3 linked regions of the Nothobranchius furzeri genome follow. The protein of the gene in region 1 interacts with the protein of each later gene in a biochemical or structural test. Links are inferred from orthologs where the notes say so. Each region holds a gene or a part of one and is shown in the gene's direction. Other genes may lie near its edges.

Region 1 (5,399 bases):
ATGGTCTGTGTCTGCATCTCCCCTCATGTGTCTCCTTGTGTCCTCCATTCGTTCTCTAGGTGCTCCTTTTGTGTCCTAGCGCCCTCATGTGTCATGTCTGCGTCTTCCTCATGTGTCTTCTGGTTTTCCCCATTTGCCCCTAGATCTCCAGCCCTCTAGGTTTATCAAGTCATTTCCTTTAGTTACAGCCTTTCATGATTTATTATGTTTTTTTTTCCCATCAGTGTTTATTATTTTTCTCCCACCCTCCCTTTGAATTGTAGTCATGTTTCCTGCTCTTTTGTATTAGGTTTTATTCTTAGGTCAAGTGAGTTTCTCCCCTGATTAGTCATTGCCTTCACCTGGTCCTCCTCCCACACCCCACTCACCTGCAGCTCATCTCCCTCTCATCCTCCCTGTGTATTTAAGCCCTGTCTTGTCTCAGTCTCTTGTCGGCCCATTGTTTGTATTCTGTCTGCGTTTGTTTGTGCTCTTTATGAGCTTTTTGTCTCGTCCCCAGACTTTGTGCTCTAGGTGAGCTTCTGTTTCAAAGTCTTTGGTCTTCGTGCTCTTTGAGAGCTTTGGGTGTCCTGTGCTCCAGGACTTTGGACTTTAGGCTCGTTGCCTTGGATTTATTTTTGTTAAAACTCTAATAAAATAATTTTTTCCTTATATTTACTCCTGCCTCATGTCCTCCTGGGTATCTGCATATTTGGGTCCTAAACATCCCCGAAACGTGACAAGTTTCTCAATATGCGTACTTGTGAAACGTCACTGAAAATGGCATCATCATCAACACTGGCCCAAGTATTGTTCCAATCTACCATGGCAAGTTCCCTCAAGATTGCGTCAACGCAACCTTCTGCAGACTTGGGCCTGCAAGGACAGTGGCTTGTAATTCATCATGCTTAGGATTACAAACCGTTGTACCTCAAACTGAAAATGGCATAGGAGAAAGCTCGTAGCTCTAGAGTATTCATGTCAAAAATACAAATAATGAAGTCTAGAAAAATAAATTAAAAGTTGTTTCTTATTGTAGATAATTGTCCATCCATCCATTCATTATCTGTACCCGCTTGTCCACGCAGGGTCACGGGGGGCTAGTGCCTATCTCCAGCAGTCTACGGGTATAAAAGCGGGTACACCCTGCACAGATTGCCAGTCCATCGCAGGGCAACACAGAGACACACAGGATAAACAATTAACCATGCAAACATTCACACCTAAGGACACTTTAGAGACACCAGTCAACCTGAACGTCATGTTTTTGGACTGTGGGAGGAAGTGGGAGTACCTGGACAGAACCTGTGCATGCACAGCGAGAACATGCAAACTCCATGCAGAAAGACCCCAGGTTGGAATGTAAACCTAACGCTAACAACTGTGTAGCCCACCATAGATAACTGTGCGTGTAACCCATACATTTGCTGTGTGGGTTTTATAATACCTCAAAATGAAACTTAGCTCATCCACTATTAAAATAAAACCAACGTAGCTTTAAACAGCTCTGTTTGATGAAAAAGTAACATATTTTTCTTCAACATGCCGTGACGTAATGGAGTACGGTTCAGATCCAAATGCCGTCCTTGTACCCCCGTATTCGTTAGAACGGACTTTCTCCTGTACTTATCAAGAACGCACTTGTCAGTTACTCAAGAACATGCTAGCATAAACATCCCAGTTTTTACGTTGTGGACTTAAAGAATGCTTGTGACTGCACACCTCACTTCCAGTTGTTACTGCTAGGCGTTCTGGAAGATCACTGTTGGTCCATGAAACCCAAATGGTCCCTGAACATCGATGATGTGGACATTACCATCTTCCTGTGGAGAAGAGTGAGTTCAGATTCATCTGAGCAGCTCATCAGTGCCGAGGAGAATCACGGCTCCTCTGCATCAGCGTGAGCCAGCTGAGATCATTGGCACATCTGCTAAGGATGTCCTCTGGGTACCTGTTTCCAGCATGACCCACCAGGAGGAGGCCTCCAAACAGATTTAGTAGGAATGGAGTAGTTAGATTTCCTAGCTGGTGTGGGAATGCTTTGGTTTTCCCTCGGTAGGGCTGGAAGAGGTCGCTGGGGAAATGGGGGGAGGTGTAGGGATCTCTGCTAAGGCTGCAGTCTCTGCAACCTGGTTACATATAAGACCATGGATGGATGAGTGCTTCAGTCCTTCCTCTGTCTCGCTCACCTCAGAAAACGTCTTCCACCAAACCTTAGAATTTAAAAGTTTTAGCAGGACAGCTCAGAGTGTTATCATCCCAACAAACCATCCTGTTAAGATTCTCGTGGGAATTCTGCAAAAGCAGGACAGACATCAATGTTGGACCAGTTTTCTGTAGGAATCTACTTTTTCCCCTTCGGGAGAGACTAGACTGGCTCCAATAATGGCCAAAACTTTGTAGTCGTTCAGGATCTTCGAGGAGGATCAGCAGCATGAGTCTGATAAATGAAGACGTGTGAAGGAGGATCTGCACAGAGAATAAAATGATATGGATGCACAGAAGTGTCAGAAATCTGCATGTTGAATATTTATGAAACAAGTTCCCTCTTATGTAACAGACACTTTTCTATGGGCTCTTTATTTCTGACATTGTTTCAGCGCAGGAGCAAAAGAAAGAGGCAGCGATGATAACATACTACGGAGGGTTGATTCACTGTCTCTACGTCTCCTCTCCTTGTCCCTCCCTCACTCATCGGCAGCAGCCAACATATTTTTATGAGTCACGGTCGGAGCAGACCGCTCGTCCCGTCTTTTCAGCCTCTTGCCTTTAATATCAAGATATATCCAACAGCAACAACTCTGGCTTCCAGGAAAACTCTCGCTCCTCGTCTGGTACGACACGTCCCTCCCTCCTCTTGTCTCGCCCTCCCTCTCTTTTTATTTCCTCTTCCCCTTCCCCAGCCTCGCACCCCCCCCCCTCTCTCTCTTTCTTTCTTTCTTTCTTTCTCCCCATCCCTCCCCTCCTTTACTGCGGGTGTCTGGGAGGCTGTTTTTCCTCTGTCTCTTGCTCATGAAGGGCCGCACTAAGCTCCCTTCTCTCTGCCCATGTGTGGTAGGTAAATTCACCTCTGTGTTTGTGACGTTCTTCTCTTTTCCATCTCTCTGTTGCTGCCTCTGATTTGCATGTTAGCTCAGAGTCTGCAGGCTTGAGGGGAGCTCCGTGTCTACATGTGTGTATATTGCATCGAACATGCTCGTCATCACGCTCGTCATGGAGAAATCACAAACATGTGAATGGGGATTTGGTCATTCCTTCATGTGCATTTTCCACGTATGAACACGGCCTGACACATGTACCGGTGGATCAGGGAGCATGTTCTGAAATGCGTAGGGAGGAAAACTCCAGCAGACTTGTTGATTAAAACATTGTTTGTTCCATTTAACGGCAGGTTATGCCGTAGCTTTCTTTTGTGAATTAATCACGTTGGTGTGCATTTCCATCCTACAGACCCCAGTCAGGGCCAGGTATAAAACTGTTGTGGCAGGAATTTGATATATGATTGGTGTTTATGTGCGGAAGGTGTTATGTTGCCTGTGTAAGCCTGAGAGGGTTGGTTTTAATGGGGAAGCAGAAGTCAGCACAACACCGGATGTGAAATGAGGGTTTAGGGACCGTCCACAAACTGCAGCATTAATATTCAGCAACATCTATGTCCCATCACTGAACCCTTATTAGATGTTTACGAATCGTGTTTGTGTTTCCGTCTGATGTCGTTGCATTAGTTTAAACGTTTGCTGAAGCTTCATCTTTGGTTTTTGATGTGGCTCCTGTGGACGTTAAGCTCAGAGAATGGTTTGTTTTGATTCAAATTAGACTGAGTGTAGAAGGAAGGTGACATTATTGAATTTCTTTAAGAGTTATTGGTACCATTATCTAACCTGGACCGTCCCTCCCTGCAGGAATACTCCTCAGTTTTGTCCCTTTGCCGGGTTTCTGCTGTTGCCACGTTGTTCTGTTGTGTCATGGGTGATTCTGCAGGTTGAGTGCTTTGCAGTCTTGTTTCTGATTTTATTGTATTTCTGGTACTTCCTGTTTTATTTTGTGCATTCACTTCCTGTCTCATTACAGGCAGCTTCACGACATGAGGCTCCTCACTAATCAGCCTCATGTCTTGCACCTGGGTCCTGGCTTCTCCATTTAAGCGTCTTTGCAACAGTTTCCTTTGCCAGTTTGTCTTCTCCTGTTGTGTGATGTGAACCTGCTCTCAGAAACACTTGGTAAAAGTGTATTCAGTTAGATTTGGACTTTTCAGTTGTGTTGTACTCCAGGAATCCCTTCTGCTTATTAAAACTGGGTGAGCTCTGCATTTGAGTCCTCTTTGTGCTTTGATATGTTGCTTCTTTGTGGTCATTACCTTCATTGGGGAGATTTTGGTTTTCCTCTTCAGAGTTTTTGATTCAAACAAAAAAAAAATGCAGCATTAAAAGCTTTTAAACAACTCTGTTTCCAGCTAGATTACAAATCACTCCCCTCAGGCCTTCTCCTGAGGGCCATTAGAACCTTTGTGTTTCCGATGTTTTGATCCCGTTTCTGATGATGTGGGTTGATGTGAAACTGCCTGGAGGTCAGATTCTGAGTCAGCTGAATCTCCAGACCTCCATCTCTGTTTAATCTACTGTCGTGGCCAAAAGTTTTGAGAATGACACAAATAGTAGTTTTCACAACATTTGCTGCTAAACTTCTTTTAGATCTTTAGTTTAGTTGTTTCTGTGATGTACTGAAATATGATTACAAGCACTTCATGCGTTTCAAAGGCTTTTATCAACAACTACATGACATTGATGCAAAGAGTCAGTATTTGGAGTGTTGGCCCTTCTTTTTCAGGACTTCTGCAGTTCGACTGGGCATGCTCTCAATCAACTTCTGGGCCAAAGCCTGACTGATAGCAACCCATTCTTTCATCATCACTTCTTGGAGTTTGTCAGATTTAGTGGGTTTTTGTTTGTCCACCCACCTCTTGAGGATTGACCGTAACTTCTCCATGCGATCAGATCTGGGAAGTTTCCGGGCCATGGACCCAAAATTTCAACGTTTTGGCCCCCGAGCCACTGAGTAATCACGTTATGCCACGGTGCGCCATCGTGCTGGAAAATGCATTGTTCACCAAACTGCTGTTGGATTGTTGGAAGAAGTTGCTGTCGGAGGGTGTTTTGGTACCATTCTTTATTCGTGGCTGTGTTTTTGGGCTAAATTGTGAGTGAAACTACTCCCTTGAATGAGAAGCAACCCCACACATGAATGAATGGTCTCAGGATGCTTTACTGTTGGCATGACACAGGACTGGTGGTAGCTGTCACCTTTTCTTCTCCGGACAAGCTTTTTTTCCAGATGCCCCAAACAATTGGAAAGGGGCTTCATCCGAGACTTTGCCCCAGTCCTCAGCAGTCCATTCACCATACTTTTTGCAGAAGATCAAT
Region 2 (4,535 bases), on another chromosome or scaffold:
TCTCAGCCAGACTGCCTGCTCGCCAGGGACCCCTACTGCGCGTGGGACAACGAGGGCCGGGCCTGCGTCCGCATCGACCTCCATCGAGGGTGAGACACGTACCTGTTGGCCCCTGATCATTACTCGCCCAGGTTTGATGAGGCTTGGGATTGCTGTTTTAAAGGGCGACACTAGAATACAAACAGATCACCGATACAGTGAATGAGTTTCACGCCTCTGTTGAAATTTATTAAAATCAATAAACAGCAAATTGAAATCATTTAGTCATCGAGTTAAAGCCTTCATGCAAAGCAGGGTCCTCATTTATAAGAAGCAAGGGGGGAGGGGGGTGCTGCTGTTTGGATTGCTGGCTGTAATGCACATAACACACAAGCTTGCAATATAAAGCTGGACAACACCTGTCCCCCTCCAGCTCGGCTGTGTGACCACTAACCTGTCCTGTGTGACCCTTACCATGTAGCCCTCATGTCCATGCTGTCTCTGGAGGAGCAGATAGGAAATGAGATCTCCTGTAACTTAAAAATGAACCAAAGCTTCCTCCCAGTTTCTCTTTCAGCTGAATTTAACATCAGTTTATCTTCATGAAACAAAAGAATAAAGTGGAACAAGAACTTCTATCTTCTATTTCTCTCTCCTTTTAACTTCTCCGTGTCCCTAAATAAAAGAGACAGACGATCACGCTGCAGCCGCCGCCACTGACCCCGCTCCCTCCCCAAGACCGGATCTCCCGACATCACAGCACTCGGTCTGACTGAGCGCTTCCAGGAGAAACAAAAATGAAATTATGGAAATAATAATGCATGTTTGGAGGAGTGTCCTCCGATTCCCCCCCCCCCCCCCCCCCCCCCCCGACTCTCTTTCTCTCTCAGTCGCTGATGGAGCGAGCGGAGCGCGCTGCACGACAACCCGCTCAATTAACATAGCTCACGACCCAAATCCAACAGAACCGATCGGGCTGATTCGGTTAGGGTCCTGTCTCAGGTTCTAACTCCAGTGCTCAGCCCTGCAGTACCACATAAAGGCGGACCAAAGTTTCCTACCCGGTAAATGTGGAGAACACCACTCTTACAGATGTGGATGCTGCGCTGGTGCCGCCGTTAACATAACAAAACCACATTCCACTGTAATTGATTATGGTACTCTTCTATGATGCAGAATCGTTTATGCTCGCATCTCATGCATTGATTATTTGATTATTTTCCTCAGCTCTGTCTATCCTACGCCTCCCGGTCGGCCGTCGGGGGTGGGGGTGGAGGGTGCAGGCGGGGTTTGGGGGCCACAAAGAGAGGGCTCGCGGGCTGGACGTGGCCCACGGGCCACTATTTGCGGACCACTGATGTGAAGGCTTGTGTTATATCTATCATGTCTAGTATTACTGAAGTACGTGTTTTATCTTTTTTGCTACTTTTGTTTGCTCTACACCTCCTCATGTACAGTAATGTTTACCCCGGAGCCGTCAGCAGCTCGTCATAGCTGCTGATAGGAACCGCTGTGGTCAACAGAACCTTTTCCACCAGAGCGGTCAGCAGCGCGAGTCGGCCACGTCTCAGGAGCAGCATGTCGCGGCCTTTACGCGCCGGTTCTATTTTCTACCCGCGAAGCCTCTGAAACGGGTCAAGTTCGACATTTTTGGGGAAGGAAAGACCGGAAATGGGATGCGGAAACGGAGCGAAGCTCCCGAGATTTTCAGAATAAAGAAACGTACTGCCTTCCGGTTGCTTTACTTTAAAAAATAGTTACTAACTGTGCGTCCCCGTGAGAAGTTATCACCTAGCTAGCGGTCTCCTTTGTTTTTCAGGTCCGTATTGGCGATTATAAAATGGACAGAACATAAAACACAAACCTTTTGGAGCCATGTTGTAGTTTTCTCCTGCTTGTTGTTGTGTTTACTGACGAAGTCACTCGCGTGACTTCGTGCTCTGTCGGTGACAGCTGCTCCCCTGCTGCTTCGCGTCTCGTGGGAAGGGCCAAGCAGCAGCTTACGCGAGCAAGACGTGCTGCTGCAGTAACGTGCTGCTGACGGCTCCGGTGGAAAGAAGGGGTTAAGCTCTCTCTTTCAAATCTGAATGTTGTCTTCTTCATTCACCCCTCTCGTGTCCAGGTCCACCTCGTCCCTCTCACAGGACCTCATGCTGGAGAGGTTCAATCGTGGGAAAGCCAAGTTCGATAAACCCGTCTCCATCCCCAGCCCCGGTGAGTATAAGACAGTGCCTCATTAGTGACCTCTGGTGGTACTGAACTGTCACTGCAGGTCAGGTTTTCTGCAAGGTGGAATGGAGCAGGACTGAGTTAATAAATAAATGGAGCTAAGCAGAAAAGTGCTGTCTGGATTTTTAACGGATGAAACAACCTGAACTTTTGTGTTCTCCTCTCTTCTCTCTTGATCCCTCATGTTCTTCTGCAGAGCACTCCCATCTGAGAAATGTCACAGTGGTTGTTGGGTCCGACATGGTGCTGCCGTGCCAACTCGTGTCAAACTTGGCTCAGCCGTTCTGGGTTGTCAACGAGCGGGAGCTGCTGCTGGGTGACCCAGAAGCAGGAGGGCCACGCTTCGACAGAGCCCTCAAAGCCCTCATCATCCCCGAGGCAGGCCAGATGCAAGCAGGCCGCTACATCTGCTACTCTGAGGAGCAGGGGGTCAAGTTTCAGACGGAGCGCTACCAGGTGGCGGTTGTTGCCAGTGCTCCGGTATTCATGGAAGCCCGAGCTCCGGACAGCAGCATGGGGCTCTTCTGGGTGCTGGTCATCACTCTGGGCGCGGCGTGCCTGCTGCTCTTTGTGGTGGCTCTCTATCTGCGTAGGAGGCTGAAGCTGGCTCTGGGGAAAGGAGCTGACATGAAGCCTCTGGAGAGCACTTTGGTCTACCCCGTCACCCTGCCAAAGGAGCCACCCACCTTTGTGCCCAGCAAGATGCCGAGCGATGAAGACCGATTCTGGGAAACAGGTGCCAACTACTACTACTCAGACGGTTCGCTGAAGATCGTTCCCGGACACGCCCTGGGGCCCAGCAGCGTCAGCAGCACGGCATCACCCAGCGCCATTCCTGGCCAGCCCATCCACTCCCCCAGCCGTCTCAGCCTCACCAACATCCGAGGCTCTGGTAGCAATGGTTACATCCGCCTCAATCTGAGCACAGCAGGGGAGGAGAGGGCTAGTGGGGCCGGCGCTGGGGGTGGCGGGCTGGGAGGTCTCAGCGTGGGTGGGAACGACTACTCCAGCCCATTTAAGGAGGAGCTTAGACGCACGCTGCAGCAGAGAAGCGTCCTGCCTGACGCGAACCCGGAGGAGTCGTCCATCTAGACCCGTCTTTCCAGCTCCGTTCCCTGAGGTGGAAAAACAAAGCAACCAACCTACCTCCCTCTTTGTGAGGATGCCTGCTCTCTCTGTCTTCTAGTGACATGCCGTCGACACCCACGCTCTCTATCTCTGCTGATGCCTGACTGGCTCTCTTAAGACGTTTATAGCACACAGCATGGTTATTACACACACTCATACAACATGCATTCCTATAATTGCTGTGCTGTGGGCAACACGCAGTCATGGTTGTGACTTTCTCTGCTTCCACTGTGCAACTGCCACTTGTGTAAATTTTGTATTTAAAAAGGATGAACGCAGAGGCGACCTCCTCTGACATGGAAACCCAACAAACGTTTTGCTCTCTGAAGGGCACATTTCGTTCTTTTACATTGAACTCATCCTTCGCGCTGAAACCAGTAGGCGACGAGAGCAAACAACTGAAAAAAACGGGCCCGGTTCTGTGTTTGTGTTGCTTTAGAACGTTTTCTGCTTACTGCACCTGAAAACTGGAAGCGTGTCTTCCCTATTTTCTACTCGTGAGCCAGGAAGGAGAGCGCTACTAAAGAAATACTAATTAATCAGCAAGCAAGACGACAATCATGTCCCTGTGGCAGGAGCTCCGAGTGGGACAAGAAGAGGAGAGGAGCGACGAGAGGCAAAAAGAATACAAGCAAACAAAAAAGTGAAGCAAACAAGAGTTAAAGATGCAGGGGGGGGGGGGGGGGGTGAAGGACTATCTCTAAAAACATTTTCTGCTTGATTTACACCCCCCACCCCAACCCCCACCCTCCACGACGCATTTACTGCTGAAGGAGTTCTTCAGTTTCTTCCACTTTAATTTAATGTGATGGTTGGTTTGAATTAATATATTTCTTGTCGTTCTTTTTCCGACTCACGGACTACAGCAGTGTTGTAACAGTTTGAGAGTGACTAATGGCTCACCTCTGTGAAAGACAATGCGAGGGTAACCTCCTTAACATAACATTATTCCTGACTCGGTCCTGCACGGTGACCTTCAAATCTACAAGTGCACTCCCTGTGACATTTATTCGAATCACAGCGTGTTACAGGCAGACTGGTGTTTCTGATTCAGACCTTTGAACGCTCGATCATCCCCAGGACAAAACAAAAAGGCTGTTTGCTTTCAGCTCATAGCGGTGGAACGATGATTGCACAGATAACTCCAAACTGAAGTTGACATGATGACAAAAGGGCACGGAGAATGTAAATGCACCCTC
Region 3 (4,867 bases), on another chromosome or scaffold:
AGTCACTCTATATCTATTCAGTTCAATTCAATTCAAGTTTATTTAAATAGCGCCAAATCACGACAAGAGTCGTCTCAAGGCACTTCACATAATAAACATTCCATCCATCCATCCATCCATCTTCTGAGCCCGCTTGTCCATGTGGGGTCCCGCGCGCGGGGGGAGGTGGGGTGGGGGGCTGGTGCCTATCTCCAGCGGTCAATGGGCAGTCAGGCGGGGAACACCCTGGACAGAGAGCCAGTCCATCACACGGCAACACAGAGACACACAGGACAAACAATCATGCACACACACACACTCATACCTAAGGACAATTTTAAACAGACCTAACAGTCATGTTTTTGGACTGGAGGAAGCTGAAGCACCCAGAGAGAACCCACGCATGCACAGGGAGAACATGCAAACTCCATGCAGAAAGATCCCAGGCTGGGAAGCGAACCCAGGACCCTCTCGCTGCAAGGCAACAGCTCTAACCACTGCGCCAATGCGCAGCCCATGAACATTCCAATACAGATCAATTTATTAAGCCAATCAGAAAAAAGTTTGCTATATAAGGAATCCAGCAAATTGCATCGAGTCACTGCCTAGTGTCAGTGACTTTACAGCAATCCTCATACTAAGCAAGTATGCAGCGACAGTGGAGAGGAAACCTCCCTTTTAACAGGAAGAAACCTCCAGAGAATCCTGGCTCAGTATAAGCAGCCATCCTCCATGACTCACTGGGGATCGAGAAGACAGAGCACACACACACACACACACACACACACACACACACACACACACACACACACACACACACACACACACACACACACACACACACACACACACACACACACACACACACACACACACACACACACACACACACACACACACACACACACACACACACACACACACACACACACACACACACACACCAAGTAAGGTTTCTATGGTTACATTGTGATTTCTTAGCAAATATTCTATTTGGTGAGGGATAAACTTTATTGTATTTATCCTAGTGAATCTATAATTAAATGGGTAAACTAGTAGTAGCATCAAGGAAAGCAAAGTGTTATTATCAGGAGAGGGAGAATGATTAAATGGTTAGCAACAGTGTTTAGGACGATGGCCCCCCTCCATGAGACTACCACAGCTCAGCAGAGCATCATTGTAGCTTGTTCTTGGGAGAAAAACACAGAGAAAAAATAAAGTTAACAGCTGAAATTGCAGGAAATAATGCAGTTAAAGAGCAGATTGTAGAAGAAAGTAGTAGAATGTGGAAAATGGTCAGTGTGTCCTCCAGCAGTCTAAGCCTATAGCAGCATAACTACAGAGATAACTCTGGATAACCTAGCCTTTTAGATGGCGGCATGTTGGAGGCAGGGCAAGGGAGAGCCGTCTTAACCGACTGCACACTCCATCTCCCTCTACTCCCCCACTTGTCCAGATTTAGGCTAACATCAGATTTTAACCATAGGCCCTATCAAATGAAAATGTTTTAAGCCTAGTCTTAAAAGTAGACAAAGTCTCTGCCTCACGGACTAAAACTGGGAGTTGGTTCCACAAGAGAGGAGCCTTTTAACTAAAAGATCTGCCTCCCATCCTATTTTTAGATATTCTGGGAACCACCAGTAAACCTGCAGTCTGAGAGCAAAGTGCTCGGTTAAAAACGTATGGAACAATCAGGTCACTGACGCATGATAGAGCTTGATGGTTATGAGCTTTATATGTGAGAAGGAGGATCTTAAAATCTATTCTAAATTTATCAGGCAGCTGATGTAGGGAAGCTAAGACAGGAGAGATATGATCTCTCTTTTTAATTCTCATCAGAACTGTAGCTGCAGCATTTTAGACAAGGTGAAGACTTTTAACTACATTCTGTGGACTTCCTGAGCGTAATGAATTACAGTAATCCAGTTTTGACGTAATAAATGCATGAACTAGTTTTTCAGCATCACTCCTGGAAAGGATGCTTCTAATCTTAGCAATATTCCGAAGGTGGAAAATGGAAATCCTACAAACCTGTTTAACGTGGGATTTGAATGACATGTCCTGGTCGAAGATAACACCAAGGTTCCTTACATTGTTCTCGGAGACTAATTTAATGCCATTCAGGCCATGTGATTGACTAAGCAATTTCCTTTTCTGAATTTCAGGTCCAAAGATGAGAACTTCAATCTTGTCTTGATTTAAAAGCAAAAAGTTTAGAGTCATCCAGTTTTTTGTGTCTTCAAGACAAGCCTGTAATCTAACTGATTAGGTTAATCAGGGTTAATGGATAGATATAACTGCATATCATCAGCATAAAAGTGGAAGTTTATCCCATACTGTCTAATGAATGTCATGGTCTGTCTGTCTCTTTGTGTTTCTCCTTCATCCCCTGGTCTTCAGCCTTCCAGATATATCTCTCAGGTCCTGTGTTCCTTTAGTCTTCTCCAGTCACCCCTCTGCAGTGTTTATAGTTTCAGCTTTTCATTTTATTAGTCTCTTTAGTATGTTTTGTCCCACTGGTCTTTGTAGTTCTCCCTCCCTTTAGAATATTAGTTATGTGGTTGCTTTTCTTGTTTTTAGGTTTATTCTTAGATCATGTGAGTTCCCTCCCTGATTAAGTATTGCTTTCACCTGGTCCTCTAACCCACACACCTGCAGCTCTTCTGCCTCCCATTATGCCCCAGTGTATTTAAGCCCTGTCTTGTCGGGCCATTGTTTGTATGTCAGCGTTTTCTGATGCTCTGTGTGAGCTTTGTGTCTCGTCCTAGTTTTTGTGCTCTAGGTGAGCTTTTGTTCTTCTGGTTTTGGATTTTTGGCTCCCTGCCTTCGGAGTTATTTTTGTTTCATCCTACAATTAAAAGGATTTATTCTTATATCAACTCCTGCCTCGTGTCATCCTGGGTATCTGCATTTTTGGGTCCTAACCATCCCCATAACGTGACAATGAATTTACCAGTTGGGAGCATATATATAGTAAAAAGAATCGGTCCAAGCACTGAACCCTGCGGTATTCCACAAATAACCTTGGAGTATGAAGATTTGTCATGTACATTTACAAAATGATATCTATCAGACAGGTAGGATTTAAACCAGCCTAACGCTGTTCCTTTGATCCTTACAACATGTTCAAGTCTTTCTAAAAGAACATTGTGATCAACTGTGTCAAAAGCAGCACTGAGATCTAACAAGACTAGAACAGACACAAGATTCTCATCTGAGGCCATGAGAATATCATTTGTAACTCTCACTAACAGTTTCAGTGCTGTGATACTCTCTAAAACCAGACTGAAACAAACAGATCATTAGTGTTTAAATACTCACATACTTGGATGGCCACTATTTTCTCCAGGACTTTGGATAAAAATGGAAGGTTAGATATTGGTTTTTAATTCATTGGGTCATCTGGATCCAGAGAAGGCTTCTTAAGTGAAGGTTTGATTACAGCAACCTTAAAATCCTGTGGCAGTAACCTTTTATAACACAAATGTGTTTGTGTTTTTAAAAATCGACCAATAACCATTTTCACTAACTTAGTCACTCAACAGAAACATTTGCTTAAAAGGTAAATCTGTCACAGAAATCAACTGAAATTATTTATTAGCCCATTTTTATTGATCCTTTCAAGCAGATAAAAAGAAAAACTATTTTTTTAACTTCTATTGTAATAAGAATTTGAGCTATCACATTTGTGAGTTCAGAAGAAAATTTAAGGTTAAATGTGAGGTAGACACTGAGCAAACCGATGTTGGGGATTAGAGGAAAACCAATTGTTTTTCACTGGTTCTCTGCTCAGGCTCAAATAGTTTACTTCACCACACCTAATCACTATGTTATTTCTTGATTCTGGCCTTGTTATTTTCTCATGCAGATTGAAACAATAGGTGATGCCTACTGCGTGGCTGGAGGGCTGCACAAGAAGGTTGACAGTCACGCAAAACCAATCGCCCACATGGCTCTGAAGATGATGGAACTGTCTGAAGAGGTGCTGACGCCTGACGGGAAGCCTATCAAGGTGAGTTTTAATTCTCCCTACAAGTGTGTCAGGCTGTTAGGTTAGTAAATTATTGATAATAATACTTGTAATGTAAATGTGTTGACTATGTGTGTCGTTCAAAAAGGGAATAGATAAGAAACAGATGGGAATTTGTGATGTAATTAGATTACTTAAACACCTCATAAATTGTTACTGTGTTCAGGGTTTAACATTCTGATTTTATTTCCATTAAAGGGGGCATACTATGTGAAACTCACCTTCTGCATCCTTTTGTGCTGCCATGTGGATCACTACTGCCTCTATACCCCCCCCCCCCCAAAAAAAAATCAATCTTTTTTTCTGTCAGTTTTTGTTTTACGAATTTTGGCCCTAAAACAAGCCGGTTCAACATGTCCCTGTTTGTGATGTCACAAACAGGGAAATAATAAAAAAAAACAACACTTTTCACATTCAAGAGCAAGCTGATGGAGGAGCAGCAGCTCTACTTTGAGCTCCTCTTGAATAATGGAGCTTCTGTGCTCATAGCAGCCAGATCAGGGGAGGGATTGGAGTGGCCAGCTGCATTTTGTTTTCTTAAAGAGCATATTGCAGGTTAGAGCCTCCTTTGAGCAAATATTCAGAGAAACATAATAAAAACTCATTCTAAATAAAAATGAACGCATGCATATATTATTTAGGCGTTGAGAGTTGATGGAGAAAAATGTGTTTTCTGCCAAACCAGACAAGATGCAGGCAGAGGGAGTGCTGTTAGCTTGATCCAGAGAAAAATTTGGATTTTGATGCCAGCTCCGACACAGAGGAAACTTTAAATGTTTATAATTATACTTAATGGTGGATCTCAACCATACAGGTATGAACCTGATGTGTGCCCCAGAGAGCAGAGACAAGCCAGAG

What was found. The genes of interacting proteins can lie anywhere in the genome.
Region 2: the proteins of disks large homolog 4 (region 1) and sema4c form a complex in vitro, tested with the Homo sapiens proteins (2 studies listed by BioGRID and IntAct, with this or other methods). The link is inferred for Nothobranchius furzeri from reciprocal best matches to the Homo sapiens genes DLG4 and SEMA4C.
Region 3: the proteins of disks large homolog 4 (region 1) and gucy1a2 interact in a test that uses a peptide from one of them, tested with the Homo sapiens proteins (2 studies listed by IntAct, with this or other methods). The link is inferred for Nothobranchius furzeri from reciprocal best matches to the Homo sapiens genes DLG4 and GUCY1A2.

Annotation. Positions count from the first base shown.
Region 1 is NC_091750.1:46,441,480-46,446,878, forward strand, and holds the start of disks large homolog 4, read left to right. Parts: upstream 1-1,835; 5' UTR 1,836-2,696; coding exon 2,697-2,813; intron 2,814-2,904; exon of another isoform or gene 2,905-2,991; coding exon of another isoform or gene 2,992-3,033; intron 3,034-5,399. UniProt on the Homo sapiens protein: Postsynaptic scaffolding protein that plays a critical role in synaptogenesis and synaptic plasticity by providing a platform for the postsynaptic clustering of crucial synaptic proteins.
Region 2 is NC_091757.1:30,301,177-30,305,711, reverse strand, and holds the end of sema4c (semaphorin-4C), read left to right. Parts: coding exon 1-89; intron 90-2,101; coding exon 2,102-2,193; intron 2,194-2,404; coding exon 2,405-3,300; 3' UTR 3,301-3,532; downstream 3,533-4,535.
Region 3 is NC_091753.1:35,403,612-35,408,478, reverse strand, and holds part of gucy1a2 (guanylate cyclase soluble subunit alpha-2), read left to right. Parts: intron 1-3,847; coding exon 3,848-3,991; intron 3,992-4,867. UniProt on the Homo sapiens protein: Has guanylyl cyclase on binding to the beta-1 subunit. Isoform 2 acts as a negative regulator of guanylyl cyclase activity as it forms non-functional heterodimers with the beta subunits.